Struthio camelus: one gene and its partners. The protein of the gene in region 1 interacts with the protein of each later gene in a biochemical or structural test. Links are inferred from orthologs where the notes say so. Each region holds a gene or a part of one and is shown on either strand. Other genes may lie near its edges.

What was found.
Region 2: the proteins of E2F1 (region 1) and CCNA1 form a complex in vitro, tested with the Homo sapiens proteins (2 studies listed by BioGRID). The link is inferred for Struthio camelus from reciprocal best matches to the Homo sapiens genes E2F1 and CCNA1.
Region 3: the proteins of E2F1 (region 1) and TBP form a complex in vitro, tested with the Homo sapiens proteins (2 studies listed by BioGRID). The link is inferred for Struthio camelus from reciprocal best matches to the Homo sapiens genes E2F1 and TBP.

What each region holds. Positions count from the first base shown.
Region 1 is NC_090959.1:2,870,483-2,874,293, reverse strand, and holds the start of E2F1 (transcription factor E2F1), read left to right. Parts: upstream 1-1,049; coding exon 1,050-1,238; intron 1,239-3,186; coding exon 3,187-3,277; intron 3,278-3,811. UniProt on the Homo sapiens protein: Transcription activator that binds DNA cooperatively with DP proteins through the E2 recognition site, 5'-TTTC[CG]CGC-3' found in the promoter region of a number of genes whose products are involved in cell cycle regulation or in DNA replication.
Region 2 is NC_090942.1:196,579,602-196,583,412, forward strand, and holds the start of CCNA1 (cyclin-A1), read right to left. Parts: upstream 2,872-3,811; 5' UTR 2,762-2,871; coding exon 2,633-2,761; intron 2,540-2,632; exon of another isoform or gene 2,177-2,539; intron 1,588-2,176; coding exon 1,344-1,587; intron 1,131-1,343; coding exon 1,006-1,130; intron 267-1,005; coding exon 43-266; intron 1-42. UniProt on the Homo sapiens protein: May be involved in the control of the cell cycle at the G1/S (start) and G2/M (mitosis) transitions. May primarily function in the control of the germline meiotic cell cycle and additionally in the control of mitotic cell cycle in some somatic cells.
Region 3 is NC_090944.1:92,254,941-92,258,540, reverse strand, and holds the start of TBP (TATA-box-binding protein), read left to right. Parts: upstream 1-860; 5' UTR 861-1,217; exon of another isoform or gene 1,218-1,232; intron 1,233-1,240; exon of another isoform or gene 1,241-1,340; intron 1,341-1,816; 5' UTR 1,817-1,975; intron 1,976-2,033; exon of another isoform or gene 2,034-2,223; intron 2,224-2,539; exon of another isoform or gene 2,540-2,699; intron 2,700-3,600. Other genes in the region: PSMB1 (proteasome subunit beta type-1), read right to left, coding at 609-709. UniProt on the Homo sapiens protein: The TFIID basal transcription factor complex plays a major role in the initiation of RNA polymerase II (Pol II)-dependent transcription.

The DNA of each region.
Region 1 (3,811 bases):
GGGACCCGCGCAGGGGGAGCACAGGAGGCCGGGGGGAACACAGGCAGCGGGGTGCATGGAGAGGAAGGGGTTGGGGGGCACTGGCTGCAGGGCACCAGAGGGGCTGTGGGGCAAGGGCTGTGGGACTCAGACTGTGTGACAGAGAGGGGCCGTGGGGCACTGGCTGTGGGGCCTGGGATGGGGAAGGGGCCGTGGAGCACTGGCTGTGGGGCTGAGGGGTACAAGCTGTGGGGCCTGGGATGGGGAAGGGGCCGTGGGGCACTGGCTGTGGGGCACTGGCTGTGGGGTACAGGCTGTGGGGCCCAGAGAGGGGAAGGGGCCGTGGGGCACTGGCTGTGGGGCCCAGGCTGTGGGGCCCAGAGAGGGGAAGGGGCCGTGGGGCACTGGCTGTGGGGCCTGGGATGGGGAAGGGGCCGTGGGGCACTGGCTGTGGGGCAGAGAGGGGCCGTGGGGCACTGGCTGTGGGGCCTGGGGGGGGGAGGGGCCGTGGGGCAGAGAGGGGCCGGGGAACACAGGCCCCAGGAGCGCCGCGCACGTCCCCTTTAAGGGCCGGCCGAGCGCTCCTCACCCACGCGGCGCTGCCGCAGCGTCCCCGAGCTACCCCCTGATTGGCCCCTCCCTCGGCGCGGCGCCGCCGATTGGCCGGCTGTCAGCGCGTCCGGCGCCGCCGGCCGCGGCCAATGGGGCGGGCGGCGCCGCCTATCAATCCGGCGGCGTCAGCCAATGGGGGGGCGCCGCCCGCCGCCGCTGCGGCGCCCGGCGGAGGGCGCAGCCAATGGGCGGGCGGCGGCGAGGCTCGCGCCGCTTTCGCGGCAAAAAGGATTTGGCGCGCAAAGGCGTGCGGGGCCGGGAGCGGCGGCGGCGGCGAACAATACCCGCGGGCGGCGGCCAGCCCGCGCCGGGGCCGCCGCGCCGCGCCCGCGCCCGCGCCGCGCCGCGCCGCGCCGAGCATGGGCCGCGCCCCCGCCGGCCGGCCGCGCCCCCGCGCCCGCGCCCTGCCCGCCGCGCCGCCGTGAGGGCCGAGCCCCGCGCCGCCGGCGATGTGAGCCATGGCGGCGGGCGGCGCGGCGGGGCTGGCGGCGCTGCTGGGCGGCGCCTCCCCGCGCCTCCTCATCGTCTCGGCGGCCGAGGAGCCCCCGGGCGGCGGCCGCCCCGACGCCGACCTCCTGCTCTTCGCCACGCCGCAGCCCGCCCGCCCGGGCGCCGCGCCGCGCCGGCCCGCGCTGGGCCGCCCGCCGGTAACCGCCGGGGACGGGACGGGACGGGACGGGGCGGGGCGGGGGGCGCGGACCGGGAACGGCGAGCCCGGGCCCCCGCGGCTGTGGCGGGGCCTCTAGACCGGCCCAGCGCCGAGCCGGGCTATGTCGTGCCGGGCTATGTCGTGCCGGGCTATGTCGTGCCGGGCTATGCTGTGCCGTGCAGCACAATGCCGTGCTATGTCGTGCCATGCAGCACTATGTCGTGCCATGCAGCACAATGCCGTGCTATATCGTGCCGTGGTATATCGTGCCGTGCAGCACAGTGCCGTGGTATATCGTGCCGTGCAGCACAGTGCCGTGGTATATCGTGCCGTGCAGCACAGTGCCGTGCTATATCGTGCCGTGCTATGTTGTGCTGTGCTGCACAATGCCGTGCTATATCGTGCCGTGCAGCACTATGTCGTGCCGTGCAGCACAGTGCTGTGCTATATTGTGCCGTGCTATGTCGTGCCGTGCAGCACAGTGCTGTGCTATATTGTGCCGTGCTATGTTGTGCCGTGCTGCACAGTGCCGTGCTATATCGTGCCGTGCAGCACTATGTCGTGCCGTGCAGCACAGTGCCGTGGAATATTGTGCCGTGCTATGTCGTGCCGTGCAGCACAATGCCGTGCTATATCGTGCCGTGCTATGTTGTGCCGTGTTGCACAGTGCTGTGCTATATCGTGCCGTGCTGCACCATGTTACGTGTGCCATGCTATGCAATGTCTTTGTGCACCGCACCACGCCGGGCCGGGCCGTGCCGAGCGGCGCCCCGTGGGGCGCGCGGGCCAGGCCCTGCCACGCAGCACACCTGCCAAGCAGGGCCCCGCTCCCCGGGTTGCGTCAGGCCGGCGGAGCCGCGGCCCCGCTGGGCGCTGCCTGCTCCGGAAGCCGCGCGCCTCCGAGCTGGGCCGGGTTCCTGCCTCCCCTCCTGTGCGGCGCATCTGCTGCGCGCCCGGGACGCGCTCGCTTCGCAGCGCTCCCTGGCGCAGGAGCCCTCCGCGGCCGGCCCCCGGCTGCGCCTGCGAGCTGGCCGGCGGCTCCCGCTCCTTGGCTCCCCCTGGACGCGCGCAGGGCGGGAGCGCCCCGGCATCGGGCACCCCTCTGCCCGGGCCGGTTGCCGTGCCGCGCTCGGTGCCGCGGGTGCGCGTTCCCCGCTGCCGCACGGTCCCTCGCAGACGCGCCGTTTGCCTGGCTGCTGCCGTGGGGCGCCTCGGTCCCCGCCGTGGCAGACGGGGGCGATGGGCCCGGCCAGCCCCCTCTGACGGGTCACCCAAAGCTTTTGTTGCAGGAGGCTGAGCAGAGCGCTGTGGCCGGTGCTTTTGCAGCCCCCTGGGCTCACGGGCTGCGTGGCGGTGGGCGCCCGGTGCTGCTCTGCTGGCAGCAGGATCGGGTGCCCTGCGCTTTCCCGGCTCCTGCCAGTTAATCCCATCTGTGCTGGGGCTCAGAAACGCTCTGGGGGTGTCTGCGTGGCCTTACACTGTGCCCGCCCAGGGAGCGGCGATGGGCGCAGGCAGCACCCCGGCTCTGCACCCCAGGGACACCGGGGTCGGGTGCTGTCACCTGCCCGGGGTGCCTGCAGCCGGCACAGCCTCCGCCGTGGCCCGCGGGCAGGCAGGAGGCTGCGCGTGCCGAGAGCCCATCCGTAGGGATGCGCTTGGGCTGGCCAGCTGGGAGGTGTGCGAGGCTGCGGCCGCAGGAGGCTCCGCACTGCCGAATCCCTGGTGTCCCCCCTTGCAGAGGTTCCCAGGTGGGGCCACCAACGCCTCCCTGTCGAGGGCGCTCGGCTGCTGGGGCCGGGCTGGGAGCAGACCCCTGTGTTTGAGCCGCGCGGGTGCCTGGGGCTCCGCATCAGAGCCGTGCGTCCGTCGCACAGAAGCGTGGACGTGCTGGGGTACGGCGATGTCCGTGCCGTCCGGTCCTCTGAGGAGCCACCCGTCTCTTGCAGGTGAAGAGGAAGCTGAACTTGGAGACGGATCACCAGTACATAGCAGAGAGCCTGCCGACGGCCCGGGGCAAAGCGAGAAACCCTGCGAAAGGTACTGGCTCAGCTCCCTGCCGGAGCCCGGGTCACAGCCCAGGCTGCGCTGCTGCTGGGAGCGCTGCCTGATCCCGGCCTTCGCCCTCCTCCAGCTGGACATGGGGGTCCACCACCGCCAGGATCGCACCCAGGCGGGCTGGACTGCGGCTCTGGGCTTGTGCCCTGCTGCTTTTACCCATCCCTCCGTGTCGGTTTGCAGAGGCTCTCGCTGGGGGCCGGGGCGTGCCTGGCCCGTTCTCTCTCTCCCGGCTCAGCTCATGCGGGCAGCAGCCCTGCAGGAGTGAGCATGGGAGGTGGCGTCCCCGAGGACAGAGCTGAGGCTGGCAGCATTGAGTCTGTCCGCGTGGGGCTGCGGGCAGACGTGGCCTCGCTGCACCCAGCTCCCAGCAGGCTGGAAGCGGCAGCGGAGCTAACAACCCTAGTTCTCCACGGGGTGCACGGCGCATTGCTGGGCTGACGCGCGTTTACGTGGCCCGGCGCTGATGCCGAGTGCAGAAAAGCCAGGTAAACTCCTCTAGCGCGAGGCCTGTAT
Region 2 (3,811 bases), on another chromosome or scaffold:
TTACAGCCTTCTAAGTTTTCAGGAGATGATACAAACACTTACGCAGCCAAAAGAATTGCTGCAGTTCCTACAAGCTGCAGCTTCCCTCTGAGGACAGACATGCAGGAAAGAAACCTGTCCAGGAAGTTCACTGCCAAGTACAACGTCTCCGTGCGAAGTTTGTATTCTTCCCCTACTTCCACAAGCCAATCTACCAAGATGGCACGCATTCCTGTTGTGATATCTGGTTGTTTCCTCATATAGTATGGCTTTGGCCTGTATCTTATCTGCTCAGAAAGACAGGTGAAGAATTAGGACATTCATCTGAAGATGACCATTGATGGCTGAGTTTAAGGTATTTCACACTTACACCAGTAAGCCAAAAGTAGCAGAAGTAGTTCAACAATTGATAGCTAGTTAGTATTAACTAGCTATTACTTGTAGTCGTATTAAATAATAGCACCTCTACTAAGTTGCATGCTAACAAGAGACAGGAGTAATCTGTTAGTAGCAGAATAGCAAAAGACCTCTTGGACACTGAAGTTCAGCCTTTGCCATCAAGGCCATAAAAGCCATTCAGAAAAAGGGACCTGAAAGTAACTTTAAACAAATCAGGTTTCTTCCTTATTGGAAGGTTGTTCTTTTCCTTACCCTTCTGCATCAAAGTGGCAAGGTAAAGCTCTCTGATAACAGGAGAGCTGTCAGTGAGGTCACATCCAACTGCTTTAGTTTTTTTGCAGCATTTGATTCCCATCTGCAAGAACTATTTCTGGAAATTTGTCTTTAAGAGTCAAAAGATGCTGTAACAATGAGTATTTCCAGGAAGCAAAGTAATATTTGCAAAATCTCATCACTGTCTGAAGCCAGATTCATAGGCAGCTTCTAAAGACTGTTTTTGCTACCTGCTTTCTCCACTTTTGTAACTCAGTAGCAGGCTAGGGTCATCTTGGGGCAGCAATAAGCTTTGCAGCTCATCACAGAGTCCACAAATACCTTAGAATTATAAACTTGTAACAAATCACTCACTTCAGCTTCTCGGAGGTACTGATGAATGTCTTCTGCATATTCTCCCACAGTCATTATAGTTATTGCATCTCCCATCTGATCCTCAGGTTGGGATTGGAAGGATGTATCCACTATCATAGGAGACCCTAACAGGTTAGAGGAGCCAGCAACACATTTGATTAGCCTCCTCACCTTACTCTTGTCATTTCCAACACAGCAGATGCATTGTTGATCACAGTTATCTTGAAGTGCTATTTATTTCAAGATAAGCTAATCACTAGCTTGTGCTAACACCACAATTCATAGCTACCCTATGTGGATCTCTGCTATACTACTCGGTTAGTAGCCAGAACAGTTACCTGTACTCAGATCCAACAGTAGGTGAATATTGGATGTCATTGCACTAGTATCCAGTTCACACAGGCTAGAGTCCAGCTCTTCAACCACTGGGCAGTTGTAGTTTTCCTTCTGTTCTGGTTCATCTATATATATAGTAAACCCTTGCTTTGATGTGGCATCGACCATGCAGCTAGGCAATTCATCTTTTCCAGCTGGAGGGAAGCAGTTTTCAGAGCCAGAGAAATGTCTGATAACCATAGTACCCTGGAACAGAGTACACAGTAATGCTACAAGAGGGCAGTTCAGAAGATGACAGTAATTATAGCTTATTTTAGAGAGGAAGAGGAGTTGCTTTCTTTGGCTAACACAGATACCAAAACTCTAGAAGTTAACCAAGAAGAGAAAAAAACAAAAGAAATTAAAAACCTCCCCATAAACACAGAGCTACAAACAGCAGTTCAGAAATCTTGCTTGTTACTGTCTTGCTATAGTAGACACTTCACAGGCAAAGCGAGGTATACTGAAAGGTAAGAGCCAGGCGAGTCCTGAATAGCCTCTTCACCACTGCCTGCAAAGGCAAGCCAGCTGAGGCCAGCCCCATCAGAAACAAGCAGTGGCAGGTATGGGCTCTGCTCTGTCTGCAGTTTTTGCAAGCAGTGCTTATTTCAAGGCATAGCAAGCTAAAATATCACATGGAAGTTTTCAGAAGCTACCACAAACTCATGAAAGACTTCCCATAAAAGGAGGCACTTCATATTGAGTTACAAACCACAGTTTGCACCTCAGGACTCCAACACCTCAACACCCAGGGACTACAATGTGTGACCAGCAGGCAGTGCTTAATATCACTCACTTGTAATAAGCCATCAACTGAGTTAGGGGCTTTACACAGTCACAGCTGCAAAAAGCCCTTGTATAGGCACCAACTGCTACCTCAGCTCCAGCAAGCCAGCACAACGCTTCTGCCACAGCATCTGATTTCAGGAGGGCTTGAAAGGTCCAGGACACTCACTCTTCTGCAAGCTTTAGCTTTCTGGTGGGTACTCTGGCACCCACCAGGAATCACGGCCAGCCGCGGAGCAACGGGACCTTTGGGTCACCAGCAAACAGGCACCTAAACTTCGCCACCCCCTACCCTTCGTGGGGCGGGGGCAGTGCTAAGGCAAAGCCTCCCCGAGTCTCACCTTGCAGGAGGCGCTTCCGCCCGGAGCGCTCCCAGGGCCACGCCGGCGGGGGCGGTTACCGCAGCGGCCGCCTCCCTCCAGCCCCGCTACCTGCGCGCCCCCCCCCGCCGCTGCTGGGGGCTCACCTGGCCGCCGGGCCGCCGCCGCCGCCGCTGCTGCTGCCCGTTCTCCGCCAGCTCCCCCAGCACGGCCCGCCCGCCGGCGGCGCGGGGCTCCGGCCGCCCCGCACGGCTCTTCTCCCCGCTGCGGCGCATCGCCCCCGCGGGAGACAACAGCGGCAAACAGGCGACGAGTAGTTGTTGGTTGCGGCGCCGCCGCCTCGGTGCTCAGGGAGCGCTGCTGGAGAGTGGAGCCGGCCCGCTGCGCTGCGCTGCCGCCCCGCCGCCCCCTATATAGGCCGCGGCCAATGGGCGCCGGCGGCGGCTGTTGGCTGCGGCCAGTTGGACGCCGGGGCCGGCAACCCCCGGCCGCCGCGGCCCTGGCAACCCACGCGGCGGCGGCGGCGGCGGCGGTAGCGGCGGCGGCGGGTCGCCATGGAGACGCCGGCCCGGGGCCCGGCCCGGCGGGTGCCGCAAACCGCCCCGGCCGCGCTGCTGCCCTCGGCTCGGGGCACCGGCCGAGGCGGCCTTGGCCCCGCCGCCGGTGTCATCGGATTTTGGCGCAGGCAGGAGCCCGGCGGAAGCGAAGAGAGGACCGTAGCTTAGCGGCGTTTGATGGAGATACCGGGAGCGGTTGGGAGGAGACCGACGGAAGCCGGCCGCGGCGTTGAAGGCCGCCTGGATGGCGGATATGCCAAAACCAGCAGGCGGCTTCGTCTCCGGAAAAAGGAGGGCTCAGCAGGCCTGCCTGGGCGTGGGGGCACGCGCCGAAAGTTCGCGCTAGGTTTTGCTGCATCCGAAATTCACCTCCAGGCCTTTCTAGCGTTGGCATGCTAGGGTGAGCCGGGCACCCTCATGTTTCGGGAGCAAACCCCGAGGGACCTCGCCCCACCTCTGTGTCAGCAAGAGCAGGGCCCCGAAAAGCCTCGCACAAACCCAAGCGGAGCAGAGGCGCACCACCTCCGCCCGGAGATTTTCACTTCAGTCCAAGCAATCCCACGCAGCCAACTCCAGCAGCGGCCTGCCCGGCCGAAAATAGGAGAGTCTCATTTTAAGCTCTGATAGGCTTCAGATATCAGCTATGTTTTCCAGAAACAGAGAGTCGTTATATATAAGAGTCTAATTCTTTCAAAAGTGAAAAAGAGCTACTCCGCTGAGCTGTACAATTGGTGGCCAGGGTCAGAAATTGCCAAGAACTAGCTGAAA
Region 3 (3,600 bases), on another chromosome or scaffold:
AAGGATTTGTCTCTCCAAGCAAAAAAAGTCCAGCCAAGTGTAAGCAATCAAATCATCACGCTTAGATAACAACATTATTTTAGTCTGACATTTTCCTACGTTATTTGTTCTCAAATAACTAGCTGTATGTGAGCGACTGTTAAATAGCAAACAGGTATTCCTTAAGAAGCAGTTCGGCATTAAGAAAAAAATTAAATACCATGCTGGCCAGAGCCTGACGCCACCTTAGGGCGGGTGTCAAGAAAACATCACCAGGTAGCTATCAACGCAGTTACAGATTTAAAAGCAGGTAACGGGACCATCACACAGCTTTCCTAAGCCATTACAAAGGAACAACCCTATCGAGAAGGGAAAGTGCTTACTTTGACCCGTAACGCTCAGGGAGCCCGAGCATAACAACAGCCTCAGAGAATAACGTCAGAAACACAAAGAGGACCCCGCGGGACACTCGGGGGTACCCCGGCCCTGCCCCCTTTCTCCATGGAGAAGCGCTCACAGCGGGAGACAAACCCTCGCGCAGGGCCGGGGGCGGCAGCAGGGAGACCAACCCCGCCGCCGCCCTCCGCGGGGGCCCTAGCCCACCCCAGAGCCAGCCTGCGCCTCCTCACCCTCCGTTGAAGGTGTAGGGCGAGAAGCGGTACTGCACGGGCGCGCCGAGCCGGTAGCCCAGCTCGGGTGTGGGGTCCGCGTAGCCGGCGGTGGACAGCATCCCGACGGCGGCCGGCTGCTGTCTCACGGCAAAATGGCGGCACCGGAAGCGGAACTGGAGAGCAGCCGCTTCGCCGTATGTACGCTCTAGGAAGGCAGGAGGCCACCGCGCCTCGTCTGCCTCGGGCAGCGCCCCGCCCCTGGGGCCGGGCGGGGGCGGGGTCTGGGGCCGTTGGGGCGGCCGTTGGGGCGGCCGTCTCCCCGGGCAGGGGTACAGCTGGGGAGCGCGGTGGCGCCGACTGGCAGAGGGCAGTCGTCCGCCGCCCGCCAGCCTCCTCCGCAGTCAGCTCCAGCCGCGGGCCCGTGCCGCGCCGCAAAATGCAGCGGCTGCCGCTGTCATCTGCCTTTGCCGCTTCTCTGCCTTCTCACCACCCGGCAGGAGCAGGCGAGCTGTGGGCTCTGCGGGTCGCGCCCGTGTGCCTGTCCCTGCGCGGCTCCAGTCCTGCCTGGGGAGCCTCGTCTGCTGCGTTTGGTGGGGTCCCTAGCCAGGCACGACGTTTAGCGCCTTGGTTAGTTCTGGCGAGGTCAGGGTGCTGTGCTTTTTCTTCTTCCTGGAGTGGCGGCTGTTGGAGAAAAGCAGGGGAAGAGTAGCAGCCGTGAGAGGGTCGTGGGAGCCCCTCGTGTCTGAGCAGGCAGGAAAGAGGGTAGCGTTGAGGCTCCGGGTTTGGAAAGGAGAGGAGCACGCCCAGGGAGAAGCCCTCTGATGAGGAGAAGAAACTGGAGGCGCACCAGGCTCTTGAAACGGGAAGGGGGATGCGGTGCCTGGCACGGTGACACAGCCTAGGAAGGAATGGGAAGGCCTGGGGCAAGGAGTGCAGGGAGATGGCCGGGGTGGAGCCGTCGGGGAATAGCGGGATGTCACGGGCACGCGTGGTCTCCAGTGGAGAAACGTGGCCCCTCTGACCAGGAGAGAGTCCTGGTGGGGGACGCGCCAAGGCACCACTCCTGTAGCCCAGGGCCCGGCGCTGCGCAGCGCGCACAGCCTCCGGGGAAGGCTGGTGAAAACCAGGGGCGGGCTGGCGGTGGTACGGCGTAGGTGACTAAGGAGGCGAGCGAGGCGCGGTTTCTCTGGGGGCACGACCTCTCATTAAATCTCCCCTGATTATAGCACAGCCAGAAGCCAGTGAACAAGCTTCGGGACACACGAGCCCTCCTCCGGGTCTGAAACAGGAGCCAGGCACGCCGAAGCGAAACCCAGGCGGCGAGCACCCCGGCCGCCCTTCCGCCGCCGCCTGCCACCGCCCCGTCCGGCAGAGGGGCCCCAGAGGTGAGGCGGCCCCCATCCCCCTCCCCCACCGCGGGGTGGGGGGTGGGGGGGGCGCGCGGGCGCCCGGCGGAAGTGACGCGGTCGGGACGCGCCGGCGGCGCGGGCGCAGCTCGGCTGGCCGCTGGCTCTGCGCGGCGGCGGGTGGCGCCGGGGAGCGGCTAGGTACTGTCCGCGCTGCCGCTGCTCTGCCGGGGCCCGTCCGGCCGCCCGCGCCGCGGGGATACGGCGGCGGGGCCGCGATCGCGCAGGTCGAGACGGGCCTGGGGGAGGGGCGGGGGCGGGGCGAGGCGGGCGCCGCGGGGACGGGTTCGCCCCACACTTCCCCGCGGGCGCCGCCGCGGGGCCGGGGACCTTCGGGCCCGCCCTGAGCCACCGCGGAGCGGGGCGGGGGGGGGGGGAGGCTCCTGCGGCGGCCGGGCCGGGCCGGGCCGGGCCCCTGGGGCAGGCTTCGCGGCGGCCGTTGGCGCCGCTGGGTGTAATTGCGAGCAGCGGTTGCAGCCGGGGCCGTAACCGCCTGCCCACGTGACGGGGCGGTGCTGGCCCGCGGCCTTCCGGGTGGGGGGCGCGGGCGGGAAGGGCCGGGGGCGGCGGGGCCTGGCCCTCCGAGGGCTGCGGGAGCGGCGCTGGAAGCCGCTGGGGCCGAGGGGAGGCCAGCTCGCAGCCATGGCCCTCGCTGTGCGCCCAGTTGCGTGGTATCGGGGATGCCCGGAGGGGCTCGAGGGAGGTAGGGTCGCCGCCTTCTCGTGGGTGCCTTTTGCCTTTGGACTCTGTTCCCTGGGGAAACGTTAGTGGAGATCAGAGCGAGCCACGGTTAGGGGGTACAAGGCGGACCTTTGTGTAGGTGTTGTATGAACTGCGGGTCCTGGCATGCCTGGTATTTAGAGTTGTTACTAAACAGCTGGCCTGTGGAGGAGTTGGCTTTGTTTCTTCTGGGGTAATGTTAAAATTTTCAGTGTTCCTCGTGCACCCCCAAGCTGTAAAACTTGGGTGCTCTGTTGATACCTTCAGTGAGGGTAAATATAATGTATCTTATGATTGTAATTAAATAAACCCTTTTTAGCTGTGGCGTTCTGTTAGTGTAATTTTGAGCTCTCATGCTTTAAAAAAATAAAGGCTGAACAGGCTTTCTTCAGGTTTTCAAGTGGCTTACCTCAGGCCTAAAAATGACCTTGAATATTTCTGTGCAATAGGTAGCTAGTACCGAAAGCTATAAATTAATGAAAAAACATTAGGTAAAAAGTTATAACATTTAAATTGTCAATGTGCATTGGTTGTTTCCATAGCACCATAACAGAGGCATAGTTTAATTCATATTTAAAAAATAAAAAAAGCACGCACATGTTTCACAAGTACACCCTAAACTGGCTTTAACTTCTTTCTCTCTCTCTTATAAAGCACATGCCATTACTGGTTGAAATATCTTAGTGCTTTATTTTACCGAAGTGAATGGAAGAGGGTTTCATATTTCTAATTTAACTAGCAATGTTTTACTATAGAAAAAATTTTTAGAGGCCCAGGCCTCGCAATTGCACAGGAGGAGGCTTACCAGCAATGAGAGGCTTTAACTATCCTGGTTATTATAGTAGAGTTCAATTCTGAAAAATCATTACTTTTCCTAAATAAAG